Linked DNA regions of Diceros bicornis minor. The protein of the gene in region 2 binds, or shares a complex with, the protein of the main gene of each other region. Links are inferred from orthologs where the notes say so. Each region holds a gene or a part of one and is shown on either strand. Other genes may lie near its edges.

Region 1 (10,209 bases), on a different chromosome or scaffold from region 2:
CCACAGCATGGCTTGATGAGCAGTGTGTAGGTCTGTGCCTGGAATCTGAACCTGTGAACCCTGGGCCACCGAAGTGGAGCCCACAGACTTAACCACTACACCACTGGATGGCCCCCTGAGACAGGTTTTTTAATCTGAATTCTTTTAGGCAGGTAAGAGGGAAGTAACAAGAAAAACTTTCTGAATCTTTTACAGGATATATACATATTTTTTCCCCTCCCCAAAGCCCCAGTACATAGTTGTATATTCTAGTTGTAGGTCCTTCTAGTTCTTCTGTGTAATCTGCCACTACAGCATAACTACTGTCAGACGAGTGGTGTGGTTTTGTCCCGGGGAACTGAACCGGGGCCACTGAAGTGGAGCATGCCGAACTTTAACCACTAGACCATTAGGGCAGGCTCTGAATCTTTTGTTTCTTAAAAATAATTCTCATGTTAAAGAGATATATTTTGTGGTGACAAGTTTTTTTTTTGTTTTTTTTGTGAGGAAGATCAGCTCTGAGCTAACATCCATGCCAATCCTCCTCTTTTTGCTGAGGAAGACTGGCCCTGGGCTAACATCTGTGCCCATCTTCCTTTACTTTATATGGGACACCGCCACAGCATGGCCTGACAAGCAGTGCGTGGGTGCGCGTCTGGGATCCGAACCCAGGCCACCAGCAGCGGAGCGCACGCACTTAATCACTGCACCATGGGGCCGGCCCCTGGGGTGGGAAGTTTTGTTCCCTTTCAGTACACTCTGTGATGTTTGCACAACAAAATCGCCTAACAAGGCATTTCTCAGAACATATTCCCATTGTTAAGTGACACATGACTGTATAGCAATATACTGTAATACAAGTTATTGTAGATGTTAGCAACCTGAGCATGATTTTTTTCTTTCCTTTTTCAGTTGAGAACTTTCACTTTTTTACTTAAAGGAAGCACTTGACGTCTTCTCTTTGGCATAACCAAATTGCCAGCATCACTACTCCCGTGCTTTGGGGCCATTATTAAGTAAAATAAGGATTACTTGAACACACGTACTGTGATACCGTGAAGTTGATCTGATAACTGAGAGGGCTGCTAAATGACTAATGGGCAGGTAGAGTATACAGCGTGGATATGCTGGACAAAGGGATGATTCACATCCTGGGGGAGGAGGAGAAGGACAGCGCAAGATTTCATCATGCTACTCACAATGGACCGCAATTTAAAACTTATGAATTGTTTATTTGTGGAATTTTCTATTTAATATTTTTGGACTGTGGTTGACTATGGTTGACTTCGCTCAGAAAGCGAAACTGCGGATGAGGGGGGACTACCGTACAGTCTTACCTCTCTGAGAACAAACAGATCTAGCCAAGACAGGGAACCGAAAAATAAATGTGGAGGAGCAATGTTAGCAGGTTTCTTCAGGAGTATGCACAGCGAGCGTGGCAAGTGGGAGCAGTGCGGTCCAGAGAGGAGGGCGGCAGGCTCAGAAGGGCAGACTGGATGGTAGGCTCAGGGGGTGACCAGACTAGATAATCAGGCCCAAGGGGTGACCAAGCCAGAATGGTAGGCTCAGCAGGGCAGGCTGGACAGCAGGCTCAGGGGGTGACCAGGCCAGGTTAGCAGGTTCAAGAGTGACTAGGCTAGGTGACAGGTTCAAGGGGTCACTAGACGGGGGAGACAGCATCAGTCTGAGACAACAGACTGAGAAGATGATGAGGCTGGGTCAGCAGGCTCATGAGGTTGCTAGGTTGGGCAGAGCATAACCATGTCGTGTCATCAGGCTCAGCAGAACAAGAGAGGGAGGCTGGCTTAGAGGGAATGGAGGCAGGGACTTACCTGCTCTCTGCTTCCTCTGGGGTCCCTAACATCTTGGCCTTGATCTTCTTCCGCTGCTTCCTGACAGCCACCTTCATGGCTTCTAGGAGAAGCCCGGGTACCCGGTGGTCTGAGAGCAGCTCCCTACAGAGGAGCAGGAGGGGCAGGGAAAAGCAGTGGGGATGCCAACAGCAGGTCTCACCCAAGCACCTGTGCATGTTGTTCCCCCCTTTTGAAACACTCTGCCTTGCTATCACCCCTCAGACCTTAGCTTAGGTGTCACCCCTCCTAGAAATACTTCCTTGACTGCTGCTGCAGTAGCTGTTACCCTTTGCACCGCCCCCTCCTGCATTTGGATGACGTTCCAGGAGGACAGGGGCTGTGTGATTCACGTCCTCCCAGTGCCCAGCACAGGGTCTGGCACATGGCACTGTGAATATATCAATGAACCAAAGAATGAGGCCAGGGACCTGAGGCCCAGGAGCAGGTGTGAGTGGAGCCCCACTCAGCTTCCCAGCCCCTGCCTGGCGCCCTCACCGCTGGAAGTAGGCCAACTCCTCCTTCAGCAGGAACACGTTGGCTTTGAGCTCATTCCGCTCCTGAAGGATCTGCTCAAGCTCCTCTCGACTGAAGTTGCACTGCCCTACCTTGGAGGGGCGCCCCGGCTGCTGCGGGGCATCGGCCTGCGGAAGGACAGGCTGGGTCAGAGGGGAGCCTCAGCGTGCCCTCCCCTGCCCCCCGGCCATCACAGGAAGGCGAGAGGATGTGACTAGCAGGGAGACTTGGGAGGCAAGAGAGCTACAATAGATGACAGACCAATGCTCTATTGGGGAGGAGGCCGGCTGGGGGCGCACACTGTGCGCCACCTTCCAACTTCCCAGTGGGCCTGCACGGCAAACCTCTCCCGAGTGCCCACCAAGTGCTGCAGGCTGTGAGTCCTGGAATGGGTCACTGACATCATCGGGCACTTGCCGGATCCTCAGGGGTCCCCGGGGCTCCTGCGCCGGCAGTCGCCGGCTCGGGCTCCTGCCTCTGCTCGCACCCGGGCCCCCCGGCCTGGTCCCGCTCCCGCTCCTGAGCCAGCTGCACGGCCCCTTCGCTCCGCGGCTCTGGCTGGCTCTCGCGGTCCCGCGCTGCGCGCAGCTGGGTTTGCACCAAGGCCAGCTTGTGCCGCAACTCTGCGTTCACCAGCAGGAGGCGCTGCAGCTGTTCCTGCAACTGGGGGCGGGGCAGAGAGTGGGGCTGGCGGGCGAGGCGCCGAGCGGAGGGAACCCCGCCCCGCGCCCGTCGCCGCGCCCCGCCCTCACGGCTTCGGTCTCCTGGCTGCGCTGTAGCAGGTCGCGGTTGTGCGCCCGGAGTTCATCCCGCTGTCGGTCGGTTACCTCCTTGAGCTGCCGCAGCAGAGCTCGATCCTCTGAGGAAGGGGCGTTCTTAGCGGCGGACCGCGGGAGGGAGGCCCTGGGCCTGCCCCCGCCCCGTCCCTCTGGCCGGGCCCGCGCTCACCCTGTGGCCCAGAGCGCAGCTGTCTGCGGAGGTGCTCGTTCTCCTCCCGCAGCCGCCGCAGCTCCAGTTCGGCCTGCTGCGCCGACACCTGCAGCTGGGGAGTCCAGGCTCTCAGGACTGGGCCCCACTGGACCCGCGCTGGCGAGGGAGGGCGCAGTGACTCACCGAGTCCGGGACGGGCCCCACGGCAGCCTTTTCCAGGAGCTCCAGCGCCCGCACCACGAGCGGCACGAGCCGGGCCGCCGCCTCCGGCCCGAAGCGGCGCGCCAGATCCTGCAGCTCAGTGCCCAGGGCTCCCGCTAGATGGTACACGAGCTCCGCGGCCGTCCCCGACCCCGCGGCCACTTGAGGCCCCCAGCCGTGCGCCCCAGGCGGCGCCCTCCTGGGCTCCATGTTCTCAGACGGTCAAGGGCTGCGACACCCCGCGCCCCCAGCCCCAGTGGGGCAGGAAAAAGCCACAGTCCCGGCCAAGGAAGCAGCTTAGCAGTACAGGGCGGGGTGGAAGCGACAGGGCGGAGCGATTAAGGGGAAGGAGACAGTGGCCTGGGCATCCTGGACCCTGCCCTGTTCAAGCCCCCAAGGTCACAGGAAGCAGGACAACCAACTCCTAGCCAGGCAGCCAAGAGCTGAGGCTCAGGGTAAGTGGTCACTTCCGTCAAGCCCTCCCCACAACGCCCAGTCCATGCTCCACCCCTGCCTGGAGTCATGGGGCCTGACTTGGCTGCCAAGCACTCCAGACAAGAGGCTGAGGCCAGTGACAGCCAGCTGTCCAACCATGTGCCCGTTTCCCTGACCAGGAGTGACACAAAGCTTAAGGAGCTTGGCTGCGCACCACACCTGCAGAGAACAAGCCATGAACTTCCAGAGACAGAAAATGGCAAGGACTGCTCCAAGGGATGTTGAAAAGTGGTGATGGTTTCTAAGTATTTTGGAGGGAAAATGGCAAATGTGGTCAAGGAAGCAGGAGTGTGAAAGCCCAACCCCCCCTCAGTTGCCTGAGTCTGGAGGATATTGAGCCTCAGCCCCTGGGAAGCCTTGTACCCCACCCCCCAAGGCTGAGCCCACTACCTTGCTGTCAGTCAGTCCAGCCTCCTGCCATCCCTACACCCAGAATTTGAGCTCAGGGGCAAAAAAAAAAAACTCAAACACTCCTATTTGTACAAAATTTATTATTATACTTTGTTCAGGATTACAAGCCACCAGGAGGTCAACAACACAACAACAAGCACAAAATAGATGAAAAAGGGGCCAAGCTGCTGAATGTCACCAGCTCGTCTGGGGGGTAAAAGGCTCCAGCCTTTCAGGAGTCTGAAGCAGGAGGTGAGGAAACAACTAGGCATAGAGGTCCTCTCGGTCAGCAGAGTAGACCTCGCCCTCCTGCAGGAGGGCAAAGTTGAGGAAGTGGGAGGGTCTGTGCACCTCGTGGTAGAACTCTTTGGGGTTTGCCAGCTGTAGCTCATACTTCATGTTGGGATCATGCCGGACACCTTGGAGTAGAAGGAAATGTCCAGTATTAAGAAGGTCCACCTGCCTCACCCAGCCCAGGCCCCTAGGCCAGCTCCAAACCAGAGCCAGGCCTCAGGTGCTAAAGGTGATGGCCTAACCCCATCCCCACTTTCCTGTGCTCCCCTACCTACCCATAAAGTTGTAGTTCCATGAGGACTGGGCAGGGACCATAAAGAAGCCGAGGAAACGGTCCGACAACAGCATCTGGACCCTCTCATAGTGTGAGGGTAAGTAGCCCTTGGGGTTGTTGCCCTTGTCTGTGTTCTGGCGGCCCCATTCGTAGCCACTGGGTGTCAGCTTGTAGGCTGTCAATGTGCAGGAGCCTGGTGTGAAGCTGGAAGAGGGACGAGGACAGAGTCAGAGCTCAGGCCACCACTCTGGGCCCTGGCCTGCAATGCCTGCCCACCATATTTCCTCCAAGCGGGCCCAAGCCCACCTGCAGGTGATGATAATGGTCTTCTCGCCATCCCAAGATGGGTTGTCAGCCATGATCTTGGCATGGGTGGTTACATCCTGGGGTGACAGCTGGGGGGACTCATTGGGCTGAGTGTGGATCCAACCTAAGGGTTCCATCTCCTGTAGGCAAAGAGCAGTGAACAGCTATTTAAAGCCCCATCTGCAGAGAGGAATCCCACCAATGAGAGTAACATGCCTGCCTTCCCTCCACCACCCTGACAGCAGAAAGCCCCCATTCTCCCACACCCCCACTGACCTTGAGGTACTCATGTTGGGGCAGCTGGCCTGGCAGGTGCACGGTCTGGTGAGTGCCCCACTGTGGTACCATCACAATGCAGCGAATCTCCTTCACCTGGGGGTTATCCGGTGGGCTCACCCCATACAAGTATCCTGCAATCTGGAGAACAGAGGGTCAAGAACCAAAACAATTCTCAGTACCAGCCCAGACTCTGGGCTGTCAGCCCTGTGTTTCATTCCCTTCCCCAAGAACAAGGACAATTTCTCAAAGTGTGGTCAGATCTGCAGCAGAATCACCCAGGGTGCTTGTTCAAAATGTTAAACGTGAACCTCATCACAGAGTTACATCAGAATCTCTTGAGTGGGGTCCAGGAATCTGTACTGCTCACACTCTCTCCAGTAAATTATTTAAGTACAGTATCCATAAACAAATGAGCACACAACTCATGAATTTTCACAAGCTGAACATATCTTTATTTATTTTATTTATTTATTTATTTATTTTCCCCCCAAAGCCCCAGTAGATAGTTGTATGTCATAGCTGCACATCCTTCTAGGTGCTGTATGTGGGATGCGGCCTCAGCATGGCCAGAGAAGCGGTGCATCAGTGCGCCCCTGGGGTCCGAACCCTGGGCCACCAGCAGCGGAGCGCACGCACTTAACCGCTAAGCCACGGGGCCGGCCCTGAACATATCTTTAAAACCAGCACTAGGTGGTATGTTAAATTTTACATTGCCATCAGCAAAGTAAGAGGACTCATGTTCCCATAAACTTGCCCACATATTTTTTTTTTTTTTTTGAGGAAGATCAGCCCTGAGCTAACATACATGCTAATCTTCTGTTTTTTTAGCTGAGGAAGACTGGCTCTGAGCTAACTTCTATTGCCAATCCTCCTCCTTTTTTTTTCCCCCCAAAGCCCCAGTAGACAGTTGTATGTCATAGTTGCACATCCTTCTAGTTGCTGTATGTGGGACGTGGCCTCAGCATGGCCAGAGAAGCAGTGCGTCGATGCGCACCCGGGATCTGAACCCGGGCCGCCAGTAGTGGAGCACGCGCACTTAACCGCTAAGCCACCAGGCTGGCCCTCCCGCATGAGATATTAATAATCTTTTCAAATTCACCAATCTGAGGCCCCAAATTGGTGTTTTATAAATTATGAACTTCCCTGATTACTAGTAAAGTTGTGCATCTTTTCATATTATATTTGCCATCTGTAGTTCCTTTTCTGAAATACCTTCATATTCTTTGCCCGTTCTTCTACAGTTAACTTTTTTTTAAATCAACTTCTGAGAATTCCCTATTCTAGAGTGATGCATTGTATCTTAGAGTTATGCAACTCTTCCTGTTTCTAGCTTGTCGTTGTGGTACCCTTTGTCACACAAAAGTTATTAATTTTAATTACGGTTTTGTGTTTTGTGTCTTATTTAAGGCTATCTCAACATGAAGGTAATATACATTTTCTTCCAATAGTCTACAGTTTAGTATTTTACATTCAGATCTTTACTCCACGTGGATTCTATTTTTATAAGTAGTGTGAGGCAGGGATCTAGCCTCCTTTTTCTGTGTCAATAGCCTAAGGCATCCTTAATCCCATAGATTTGATACATCACATTTATTATACACACATGAATCTGTTTCTGACTATATGCTATTCTCTTCCAGTAATTTCTAGGCCAATAATACATCATTCTTTTTTTTTTGAGGAAGATTGGCCCTGAGCTAACATCTGTTGCCAATCTTCCTCTTTTTCTTTTCTCCCCGCAAAGTCCTAGTACATAGTTTTATATCCTAGTTGTAGGTCCTTCTAGTTCTTCTACATGGGACGCTGCCTCAGCATGGCTTGATGAGCGGTGAATAGGTCCACATCCAGGATCCGAAGTGGCAAACTCCAGGTGGCCAAAGCGGCACATACAAACTTAACTGCTATGCCACTGGGCCGGCCCCACATCATTCTCTTAATTGCCATACCTTTGTAATGTTTTACTATCTGGTGGGGCCAAAACCCTCCTTGTTGTTTTGGCTCTCTTTATGTATTTACTCATCCACACATCTTTTTTTTTTTTTTTTTTTTGGTGAGGAAGATCAGCCGTGAGCTAACATCTGCCAATCCTCCTCTTTTTGCTGAGGAAGACTGGCCCTGGGCTAACATCCGTGCCCATCTTCCTCCACTTTATATGGGACGCCGCCACAGCATGGGTTGACAAGCAGTGCGTCGGTGTGTACCCGGGATCCGAACCCCGTGCCAGCACCACAGAGCACGCGCACTTAACCGCTATGCCACCGGGCCGGCCTCTCGTCCACGCATCTTAAAACCAGCACCTCAAGTTCCAAGAACTTTCAGGTGAGTTTTAGGCACATAAAATGTTGGGCACACACTATGGCCTAGTTGAGCACACTTACTCACCTGGGCCCGAAGATCAGATATGCAGATGAATTTCTTAAGCACATTCTTGGGAAGTATATAGGTATAACCAGTCTCCTTGATATCATCAGATGAAACATAGATGTGATTGGTCCTTAGGTGCAGGTTGGCAGCAGAGATGGCCCTAAGAACAGATAGGTAATGCCAGCATTTCTCAACCCAAGAACCTTAGGTAGCACCAGTAGGCCTTTCCATCCCTACCCCTCTTGCCCCTTACAGTACCTGACCCTCCATTCAGTCTTAGATGAGAATGTCTGGGTCTCATAGTTGCTGGTGGTAGAGGTGATGATTTCGTCACCATGCTTGTTGACAGTACGAGTCTGTGTTGCAGTCAGCTGCGACTGTTCCTTGGTCTGCTTCTCAATCTCAGCTATCTGCTGCCGCTGCTGTGATGGTGCTGAAATCTCCATACCCAGGATGATATCTCGAATTTCTGATTGTGTAAGTGATGCCACATTCACACTGTGGGGACAGTGTGGGTCACAAAGGATCCCTTCCCATTGGTCACTTATGCCTCAATGGCAAGAGTGTAACCTGGTGGGACAGGGGAGCCCACACTCTTACCCCAGATAATCCTCAAGTGACACTTGTAAAAGAAGTCTGAAGTGGAGATGTACTAATACTGATAAGATCTGGCACATCCCAGGATGTCCCTGTGCTTGTGCACCTTTGAGCCATGCTTAAACCTGCTCAGCATCCATAGCTTGCACTTTCTCTGGCACAAGACAATTCTCAAAAACGGAAATCCTAGAACACGTTCTCAACCAGAGTTAGTAACGGTCAGTCACCCTAGGGGGTATCTGGAAATCTATGGACATTTTTGTGGCACTGTTGCCATAATGACAGGAAAAGACAAGGAAAGAAGCTGTGTGTGTGCTATTAGCAGTGGCACCTGGGGGTCTGGGATGTTAAAACTTCCTGTAATGTGTGGACAGTAAAGAAATGCCCTGCTCAAAATGGCAATAGTGCCTTCGCTGAGAAACAACGCCCGAGAGTCAGACTGAAGCCCTGAAACGCAGATACTTCCTACACTGTCTGAAGACACTGCCCACCTCTCTTCTATAGGCATCTCCAGGACAATTTCTTGAGAAACTTCTGAGCCTAAATGTTTCAAAAAACTCAGAAACCATACACTGAGCCCGTGATTTCACCTTTTCTGGATCTTCCACCTGTCTCCCCACCACCACTGCTCACTTGTTTTTCTTGCCATAGTCAGCCAAGATAAGATCCTTGAGCTGCACCTCCACCTTGATCCATTCCTCATCAGTCAGAGTGGGCCAGATGTGGTGTGGTTCTGTAATAGTAGTCTTATCTGGCTTCAAGATCACCTTTGCCCGGTCATTGTTCACATGCAGGGCACGCAGAATCAGGATGAGGCGGGAGAAAGCCTAGGAAAAGATGTGGCAATGTAGGGGGAGGTCAGCCCCTGATGTTCTTCCCCTTTCCTTGATCCTACCCTTTCAGGGAACCCAGGAATTGATTTCAAACTCTAAGGTACCACCCCGCTACCCCACCACAAGTCAACTTGATATGCAGAGCACAGAGTCACTGTCCCATCCACAGGGTGAAGATGTGAAAAGGCCCCATAAGGAGCCTGTGGGAAAAGCTAAGGCACGTGATCTTCTCGTGGCCCCCAAACCCACCCCTCTTAGAGTGACCCTCTTCGTGAGGTGGCTTCATACCGTATAAGATGAGATAGTCTTGAGCCAGTCATCATAGAGGTTAAAGAGAACCATCTGGGGTTCAGTGGCTTTAAGAATGAGGTCCCCAAACTTTTCCACCTTGAGGCAAGCCTGGAAGGGGAGCTGGAGCTCTGATCCTTTGATCACGATATTGGGGAAGTCCAGCAAGTGCACCTGAGAGAAGATCAAGTCCAAGATTAGAAACAGAACCTGCCGATCTCAGCTCTCCTTCCTTCTACCTCATCCACCTCTCACCTCCAATGGATCCAGCATGCCCTTCCTGGTGACAATGATCTGCTTGGGCTGCTCCTCCACAGGCAGAGATCGGATCAGGGCAGCAACCTCCTCAGCTGTCTTCCACTTAGCCAACTAAAAGCAAGAGAGAAGGAAATGGAAATTGAGTCTCCACCCTTCCAGGTCAACTAAAACAGAAGATTCTGGTCTTGAAATAAACTGTGTTTCCACTGAGCACTGCTATTGAATCTTAGGTACTTCACAGGTGCAGAAAAAGTGCCAAACAGCCTTGCCCAAAAGGGATTTTCAACCTAGCTGGCCAGACAAAACTCATACAAGATAATAGCACAAGCCAGTATCTGATTACATACTACACAAA
Region 2 (9,731 bases):
GGTTAAGTTCACGTGCTCTGCTTCACTGGCCCAGGGTGCGCAGGTTCGGATCCCAGGCATGGACCTGCGCACCACTTATCAAGCCATGCTGTTGCAGGCGTCCTACATATAATCAAGTAGAGGAAGATGGGCACAGATGTTAGCCCAGGGCCAATCTTCCTCACCAAAAAGAGGAAGACTGGCAACAGCTGTTAGCTCAGGGCTAATCTTCCTCAGCAAAAAAAAAAAAAAAAAACCCACAAACTTATTTATTTTGATATAAATTTAAACTTACAGAAAAGTTGCAAGAACAGTACAAAGAATCCCCATATGCCCTTCACGTAGATTTACTGCATTCCTTTTTAAAATTAGTTGCATATTATGAACATTTTTCCATGTCCACAGACATCATTATCATCATGGCCAACATTCATTGCTGGCTAGGTGAGCCCTTTACTCACTGTGACTTCTGCTATCCCCACAACCACCTCCTGAGATAAATCCTATTATCCACATTTCACACATGAATAAATTAGGCCTTAGGTGTTTCCAATAGTTCTCCTTACAATCCTTTGTTAAAGGTCTTTGATCCCTATTTTCGTGCATCTATTCCTTAGGTTTTCGATGCCATCTCTAAATAAGATTATCCAGGAAATTTCCCAAACTCACTGACACAGCAGAAAGGAAGACCACGATTATCAGAGAACTTTAAACCTGTGTCCCATTACTGGGCCACGTCATGGCCCATGATGCACAATGACTAATTATATTTTTTAAATCTTCTAATGACCTGGTAAATACCCTCATAATATCATATTTTTTATGACTCAGAATTACTTTATCAAATGTAAATATATAAAATATACTCTACTCTCTATAATCCTATTGGATATTTCTTCATATTAAAATATGTATGCACCCCATGTTCATAGCAGCATTATTCACAATAGTCACAAGATGGAAGCAACTCAAGTGTCATCAACACTTGATGAATTGAGGGGCTGACCCGGTGGCGCAAGCGTTAAGTGCTTGCGCTCTGCAGCAGCGGCCCAGGGTTCGCCAGTTCGGATCCCGGGCGCACACCGACACACTGCTTGGCAAGCCATGCTGTGGCGGCGTCCCATATGAAGTGGAGGAAGGGGCCGGCCCCGTGACTTAGCGGTTAAGTGCGTGCGCTCCGCTGCTGGCGGCCCAGGTTCGGATCCCGGACGTGCACTGACGCACCGCTTCTCCAGCCATGCTGAGGCGGCATCCCACATACAGCAACTAGCAGGATGTGCAACCATGACGTACAACTATCCACTGGGCTTTAGGGGGAAAAAATAAATAAATAAAGTGGAGGAAGATGGGCACGGATGTTAGCCCAGGGCCAGTCTTCCTCAGCAAAAAAAGAGGAAGATTGGCAGATGTTAGCACAGTGCTGATCTCCTCACAAAAAAAAAAAAACAAACAGATGAATTGATAAGCAAAATGTGGTGTCGAGGCAGAAAAAATTCCTTCTACCCTTCTAGGGTCTTTGGCTGATCTAATAATTAAATTGATATAAGACAGATTAACAGGAGAAAAACAAATTTAATTTCATATGTATGGGAGCCCCATAAAAACATGAGACCCAAAAGCTGTCAGGCAATTGAGGCTTATATGCTATCCTGACCTAAGGAAGGGAATAAGGGCCTGAGCCTTCAAAAGGGAGAAAGGCAATGCACCAGAAGACAAGAAGAGCAGATGTTTGCCCTGCCACGCAGGTAAGTCTTACAGATAAAAAGAAATCTCTGGTAATTGCTCTCCTCCTCAGCCAGGCCCCTATTTAAACTCTTTTAGGCAGTTAAGGGAGAGGGAAAAGATTTTCCTGAGTCTGCTAGGTCTTGACTGCCTTCAGCTCAAAATAACCCACATGCCAAAGTGGCACATTTTGGGGTGGCATATTTTGCTCCCCTTAAGTGGTATATGAACATGCATACAATGGAGTATTACTCAGCTTTTAAAAGGAAGGAAATTCTGACATTATGCTAAGTAAAATAAGCCAGTCATAAAAAGACAAATACTATATGACTCCACTTACATGAGGTCCCTAGAGTAGTCAAATTCAGAGACAGAAAGTAGAATGGTGGTTCCCAGGGGCTGCTGGGAAGGCAGAATGGAGAGGTATTATTTAATGGGTACAGAGTTTCAGACAGTTATTGCTAATGGGTAGAGTTTCATCTTTTTGTATGATGAAAAGACTTCTGGAGAAAACAATATGAATGTACTTAATGCCACTGAACTGTACACTTAAAAAATATTAAGATGGTAAATTTTATGTTATTTATATTTTGCCACAATTTAAAATTTAAAAAAAATTTAAACATATGCAGTAGGTACTTCATATTAAATACTAAAGTATGAGGAATGAGCCTCATAAACAGTGGCTGATGCCTCTGAGAGACAGTGTTAAGATGCTCCAAAGAGGCGACTGTGAGCTGAAACAGTGCAGGTCGCTGTTGGCAAGGGGGCACCTCTGCAAAGGGCCTGCAGACCATATCTGCCTGGTGTGGCGGCCTCACCATTTTCCCAATGGAGAGAGGAAGCCTAAGGCCCTGAAGCCAGTGGACCTGTCATCCCTCCAATTTCTGCTTGTAGGCTTCCTGTGTTAACTGTCACCCTGTGGCCGCCTACTCCTGCCCCTGACCAGAGAAGTTCTCCTGCCTCTGAGTGCAGTATTAGTTCCTTAACTCTGAGGTTGAAATATTACAGAATTAGAGAACACTTACTGAGTGCTTTACATACATTACTTCTAATCATTATCTTCACAGTGAGCCTCCAACAGAGGTTTTGTGATTCTCGGCTTACACATGAGGAGACTAAAGTCCCTAAAGGTTAAGTAACTTACTCAAAGAAACACAATAAGGACCTAAATTCTTTCCATTATACCATGTGGCCTCTAAGTTGATTAAAAAAAAACAGTAAGTTCTCTACAGTAGCTACCATATTTTTAAAGTCTCCATAAGGTCTCAGAGGCAAAAATGTACTGAATCGAGAAACTCACAGTTGCCCCAAAATAGTAATTGCTAATATTTATTGAGCATTTAGTACAGGTCAGGAACTTGGCTAAACTCCAGTTATACTACCATTTTTGTGTGTGTGTGTGTGTGTGTGAGGAAGATCAGCCCTGAGCTAACCTCTGCCAATCCTCCTCTTTTTTGCTGAGGAAGACTGGCCCTGGGCTAACATCTGTGCCCACCTTCCTCCACTTTTTTATATGGGACGCTGCCACAGCATGGCTTGCCGAGTGGTGGTCTGTGCGCGCCCAGGATCCAAACTGGCGAACCACTGGCCGTCACAGTGGAGCTCGTGCACTTAACTGCTATGCCACCAGGCCAGCTCCATATATTACCATATTTAATACACCCAATAACCCAGAGTGGTACATGTAAGAGTGCCCACTAGTCCAGTGTCTGGCACACTAGCAAAGGCTCAGTACGGTCATGGAGGACTGGCATTTCCTTCACATTCAAATATGCGATTCCCAAGATCAATGCCAATTCTGAAACGGCTGCTACTTTATTTTTTAAGCATTGGAAACACATTTCTGGATGATTTTAAGGCCAAAAAACACACTCGGTTTAAACTCTAATTCAATGCTGCTATTGTTTTCCACTATACTAACCCTAGAAATATCAGAAGCTATACCAGCAAGACTAAGCTGCTGAGAACACGTGTGTTGGCAGTGGACAGGCATTTAGGCATTCATTCAACAGGGAGGTCTTGAGCGCATTCTGTGTGCCAGCCAAACCCCCCATCTCCCTTCCTCCCCTCAACAAACAAAACCAAACCTATATCTAGCTTTCAAGAGGGCTCAGGTTGTCACATGGATCTGTATCCTTTGCAGCAAGTACTACAGTACCGACCTTCAAATTTTTATCCTTACAAATTCAATCTCAAGAATCTTCATTAAATGTCATGGTTCCAGCTGAAAAAGCTCACTTTTTTTTAAACGTGTTATTCTCTTTACTATAATTTTATAAAAGAACTTTGTGGGGCCGGCCTGGTGGCGCAAACGGTTAAGTGCATGCGCTCTGCTGCTGGGCCAGGGTTGGCGGGTTCGCATCGGGCAGGCACCCACGCACCTCTTGTAAGGCCATGCTGTGGCGGAGTCCCATATAAAGTGGAGGAAGATGGGTGTGGATGTTAGCCCAGGGCTGATCTTCCTCAGCAAAAAAAATATATATTAGTATATAAAGTGCCGCTTTGCTCTTTCTAGCGATGGCAGGTTAGTTCTCTGAAAGGATCTACTCCAATTTATTTCACCTGGTTATACTCTGGTTTCACGGCTTAAAATAGCAAAAAACGAGTCTTTGTCTACAGGAGTCAGTTTGCGGCTTCCAGGAATCTCGGTTCTGCCCACCTCTCTCAATTGCTGGGAGCAAAATCCCCTACCCGGGTCTCAGCACTCCACAGCGCGGCCCGGCGGCGTCACCCTCCCGGCACACAAAAGCCGGCCGCGAGCTCAGCCGCACCCTGCTGGAGGGCCGCCCCGCTTGCGCAACCGCGCACGCCGCCCCCATTCCCCGCCCGCCGCGAGCCCGCAGTGGGGGCCGCCATCTTGTACCTGTGGCCACCTACCGCCTCAAGAAAGACACCTGGAAACTCCTCAGCAGCTAACTTGTACGAGAAGGCTGCGCAGCAATCACTGCGCTCAGATCACCGCGCCTCCCAGAACCAGGACAGCCTCTCAGCGTTCCATACCACCACAAAGGAAGCAGCCATCTTGTACGGCAAACGCTTCCATTTCCGGGACCGGCCTGCGACGAAACAAGGGAGGTGCTAGCCAACATCGGCGACTCTCGCGCCCTCTGGCAGCGGGCCCGAGCAGTAATGCCAGCTCGGACCTGTAGGGGATTCTGCTTCCGGGTCTGCTCGGGCGGGGCCGTGACGTCACGCGTCCCGGCTGTGACGACTGGGGGAGCCTGGACTGAAATGTGAACTTGCGCTTGAGCGATAGGGGTGTGGCGGGGCGTGTGGATGGGAAACTGGGGAAGGAAAGCAAGTTTGTTCAAGGGCTTCTGCGTGGTCTGTTAGTACTCCGCAGGACAGGGCGAGGCACGCGTTATTGTTACTGTTTACAGGGGAGAAAACAGACTCGCACTCTTGGTCGCTCTGCTAAACCCTGGCAGAGATGGGATTAGCGGTCTCTCTCGCCCGTTGCTCTAAAATGGAATAACAATCTATTCTGGGGGACTGTTGCGAGGATTAAGTGACTTTTCAGATTACAGTGCCAGGTTCTTAGTATTAGTTTCTTCTCCATTGATAATAGTAATATAACAACAACAACCACGTGCCAGGCACATATTATCTGTACTCAACCTACGACTCTGAAGTAGGGAGTATCAGCATTCCCATTTTACAAATGAGGACGGTGAGGAAAGCAGAAGTAATTTGTCCAAGGTTACAGGATAGCCAGTAGCAATGCCCAGGCAGTTTGGGGTGGGTGTCTCTGATCTTAACCACTACACATTCTCTCTGGGAACAGGACCCTGTCGGGGTATGTGCTAATAAGATGGTAAAGAAACAGGAACCAATACTTCTTGCAGCCTTGTTGTGACGAGCAATGGGGCTTCTGAAGAGAGGCTCATTAGGGGAGGGAAGAGAAGAGGGTGGGAGGAAGAGAAGAAGGACTGGCCTCAGGGAGTACCAGAGGGAATGGATTAGAGAGGCTAGAACACAATTTTTGTCCTGTCTGCACCAGAAGTGAAGAAATGGCTTCTAGCTTGCAGAATGGGAAGTGGGAATGATAGTAATAATAATAATCGCTATGACACGGAGCAGTTACCATATCTATTCTTAGAAGATGTTAATCCAATCCAGAAATGGAGGCTGAAGTTGAGAAAAGTAGGTCCCTTATCCTTGGCAATCTGTTTACTTACCTATAAAACCAGGGTAATAGGGCCCCCTAGCCAGGTTTTTAGGAAGAGAGAGAGTTCTGGTGTCCTCCGCCATCACTTGGTGTGCCTTTTGATGGGAAACTGTGTTGGCAAGGCTGGGGAAAACAGGCACTGTGATACCTATTGGTGGGAGTGTACATTTGTATAATGTCTGTTAACTTAGAATAATCCCTTGTACAAATCTTTTGATCAAGCACTTCAAGGCCTAGAAAATTATCTTACAGGTGGGCTCCCCCATGTGCTCAGACATATGTACAAAGAGATACTGTGGGAGATCAAGATTTGGCCACCCTGAAATATATCTCTTTACCTTGATTGTTTTCTCTGAGGCACAGTTGACCTCCCCCACTACCTGTCTAAAGAATTTGACATAGTAACTCCTTCCTGGAACAGACCTTCTATCTGATGGCTGTAATATAATGTAAAATAGATGTTACAATAGAAAAGGCACCAACAAGCCCATCTTATGTCTCTCTGGCCACATTCTCTGGATGGCCCTGCGAGGAGTTGCCAGACAAACATTTACATTTATAAGGGAAATCTCCATTTGTAAAGGTATCGCCCTCTCTGTATTGGGAAAAGGGGAGATGGCCTCATTTCTAGAGACTTATCAATGTGGAAGGTGAGGCCTTAAATCTGCATAATAACCTTACTCTTGTTTACTGTGCTTTAGTGGTAACTCCTGTAACTGACTCCTCCCACCCCCAACATCCTCCTTTGTCATTGGCTGAACATGGTATTTAAGACGAGAATTTCTGTTATTGTGTTGAGAAACGCCATGTCCCTGCTTTCTCCCATGTATACATGTTATTAAACTTGGTATTATTTTCTCCTGCTAACCTGTCTTGTTAATTATTTGGCCAGCCATAAGAACCTTAAGGAAAAGGGCAGAGGGAGATTCTCCCTCTCTCCCACCAATACAATCCAGCATTGTTTGAATAGAAAAGTCTGGAAGCAACCTAATTGTTCATCAATGGGGGACTGGTTTGGTTTTAAAAATATGACACATCTATACAGCCCTTAAAAAGAATAAAGCAGTGCTATTATGGAATGAGCTCCAAGATTATCACATATAATTATGATTGTGTTTGGCTGCAAATAACACAATACCCTTCTCTAGTGGCTTAAACAGACAAGAATTAATCTATCTCATGGAATAAGTAGTCCAAGGAGGCCTATGGGGCATAGTGTGCCATTAGGGATGCAGACTCTTTTTCTTTTGTTTTTAAAATTGCTTTAACCTTTTTTTTTTTATTGTGAATCATAATATATATAAAAAGTGCATAAAACAAATGTTCAATTTAATAAATTATTTTGATGTGGATATCTATGTAATCACTACCTAAGTGAGGAAAGAGAATGTCGCCAGCATCCCAGCAGCTCCCCCTTGTGCGCCTTTACCGTTCACAAGCCCCTTCCACCCGCCAGAGATAACCATTATCCTGACATTTATGGTAAATACTTCCTTGCCATTCTTTGTAACAGTGGGTCTCAAAGTGTGGTCCCAGGATCAACCATACCAGCATTAACTGGGAACTTGTTAGAAACGAAAATTCCCAGGCCCCAGCCCAATTCTACTTAATTGGAAACTGGAAGGGGGCCCAGCCGTCTGTGGTTTTAACAAGCTTTCCAGATGATTCTGATGTGCTCAAATTTGAGAAGCATTGCTTCAAAATAACACCACTAAAGTGTACACCTATGGACAATACAGTATAGTTTCTCTGGGTATGTCTGAATTTATATAAATATGTAATATAGTATGTATTGTTTTATGTCAGCTTCTCTACTGAGTATTACTCTTTTGCTTTGTTTTCATACTGAAACAAAGCACATTGAGAAAAGTGCCTAAATCGTAAGTGAGCAGTTTAATGAATTAGCACAAGGTGAACTCACCTGTGTAACCACCACTTATCAGGAAAAACAACGTTCCTAGCCCCCTGATGTCTTCTGCTTGCTTCCTCCCAGTCCTCTCTCTCTCTCTCCTTCCCACAGGCAAATCTACCTTGTTTTAAAACTATTTGCATATGCCAAGGTTTGAAGCACCAGCTGGAGTGGTGGAAGCAGATTTTACTCAGTAACTGCTGACAGCAAGGGAAGAGCTGAGCTCTGTTCCTATTTGCACTGAGGTGACTGGGAGTTTTAAAGGAAGAGGGTAGGGAAGGAGAGAGAGTGGGGCTCCAGTGGAAAATTACAAAGTGTAGGTCACTGTAAAGGTGATTATAGGGCCAGCCCGGTGGCCCTATAATCCTGACACTCCTGAGTTGTAGTAGATACATCTCAAAGGGACAGAGTAAAGAGTCATAATTACAAGCCCTTTTTAGTAAATGCTCTAAGAAAAGGAAGTCAGGTGTTGGTGAGAATAGTGAGTTCTGCTGGCAGTGTTTGAGCTTTCTCAGGCAGGCATTTTAATGGGGGGCTGGGGTCATCCTAAGGACACGGCCTCATGCTGCTAGAAGTCATTCTAGAGATTGGTTGTCTTTTAGTGCCGAGGTTTGGATGAGTTTTTAGGTGCCCGAAGTTCTGTAGTTCTCAAAAGATAGCCACTGGAGGGGCTGGCCCCATGGTGTAGTGGTTAAGTTTGGTCTGCTCCACTTTGGTGGCCTGGGTTCACAGGTTTGGATCCTGGGCACATGACACCACTTATCAGCCATGCTGAGGCAGCAACCCACATACAAAATAAAGGAAGATTGGCACAGATGTTAGCTCAGTGCAAATCTTCCTCAGCAAAAAAAGAAAAAAAAAGCCACTGGAGAAAGTGAAACCAGCCATGAAGAAGACAGATTAGCCATCATGCTTGAGATCTTGGGTAGGTATGCATGGCATCACGGTGCACAGCAGATCTGTGGCAGGAATGCCACTCAGGTCAGCATTGAGCCGGCAGCCAGTGGCTGGCCCTCCTGGGCCCATTGCACACAACTATGGGTCTGTGGCCCAGCCAGTCAGAGATGCTACAAGTCAGGAAATAGGGCACAGGAATGAAATAACTTCCCCAAGTGCTGGTGCCTCTTTGTCCTTCAATGACATTCATACTGGACAGCACAAACCAAAATAAACAGGAACATCAGGCCTTTGCACTTTTATCCACATAATAGATATAATTATGGCTTAAATCACATAGAAGAAAAAAAAGAGCTACAAACAAAAAGTATATTTATGTTGTTTTTTATATTTACTGATGTAGTTACCTTTATTTGCGCTCTTTATTTTTTCCTTTGGAATTGAGTTACTGTCTGGTATCATTTCATTTTAGCCTGAAAGATTCCCTTTAGCATTTCTTGTAGTGCAGGTCTGCTAGTGACAGATTCTCTCAGTTTTTGTTTACATGGGAAAATCTTAATTTCGCTTTCATTTTTATTCTATTATTATACTGTATTACATTAATTGATTTTTGGATGTTAAGCCAACCTCATATTCTTGGGAAAAAGGCCACTTGATCATGGTGTATAATTCTTTCTATATGTTGCTGGATTTGGTTTGCTAATTTGTTGTTGAGAACATTTGCATGTGTATTCATACAAAGCTGTTGGTCTATAGTTTTCTTCTTTTGTGATGTCTTTGGTTTTAGTATCAGGGTAATACTGGCCTCATAAAATGAATTGGGAAGTGTTCCTTCCTCTTCTATTTTTGAGAAGAGTTTGTGAAAAATTGGTATTAATTCTTTAATGTTTGGTAGAATTCACCACTGAAGCCATGGGCTTTTCATTGTGGGTAGTTTTTAAAATTACTAATTCAATATCTTCACTTATTATTGGTCTGCTCAGATTGTCTATTTCTTCTTGAGTCAGTGTTGGTAGTCTGTGTCTTTCTAGGAGTTTATCCATTTCTTCTAGG

What was found.
Region 1: the proteins of RAB7A (region 2) and RILP are in contact, whole or in part, in a crystal structure (PDB 1YHN), measured with the Homo sapiens proteins. The link is inferred for Diceros bicornis minor from reciprocal best matches to the Homo sapiens genes RAB7A and RILP. Residues at the interface, in NP_004628.4 of Homo sapiens: Ser3, Lys6, Leu8, Ile41, Gly42, Ala43, Asp44, Phe45, Leu46, Thr47, Thr58, Trp62, Ser72, Leu73, Val75, Leu182, Tyr183, Asn184, Glu185; in NP_113618.2 of Homo sapiens: Phe248, Glu249, Leu252, Gln253, Arg255, Asn256, Lys259, Ala260, Phe263, Leu264, Glu267, Glu268, Tyr271, Arg274, Glu275.

Annotation. Positions count from the first base shown.
Region 1 is NC_080757.1:16,094,185-16,104,393, reverse strand, and holds the start of RILP (rab-interacting lysosomal protein), read right to left. Parts: upstream 3,853-10,209; 5' UTR 3,687-3,852; coding exon 3,459-3,686; intron 3,388-3,458; coding exon 3,294-3,387; intron 3,205-3,293; coding exon 3,098-3,204; intron 3,009-3,097; coding exon 2,763-3,008; intron 2,474-2,762; coding exon 2,328-2,473; intron 1,935-2,327; coding exon 1,812-1,934; intron 1,684-1,811; exon of another isoform or gene 892-1,683; intron 1-891. Other genes in the region: PRPF8 (pre-mRNA-processing-splicing factor 8), read right to left, coding at 4,626-4,780, 4,931-5,133, 5,236-5,375, 5,512-5,652, 7,897-8,038, 8,137-8,376, 9,109-9,302, 9,597-9,770 and 1 more. UniProt on the Homo sapiens protein: Rab effector playing a role in late endocytic transport to degradative compartments. Involved in the regulation of lysosomal morphology and distribution.
Region 2 is NC_080741.1:93,393,683-93,403,413, reverse strand, and holds the start of RAB7A (ras-related protein Rab-7a), read right to left. Parts: upstream 4,670-9,731; 5' UTR 4,582-4,669; intron 1-4,581.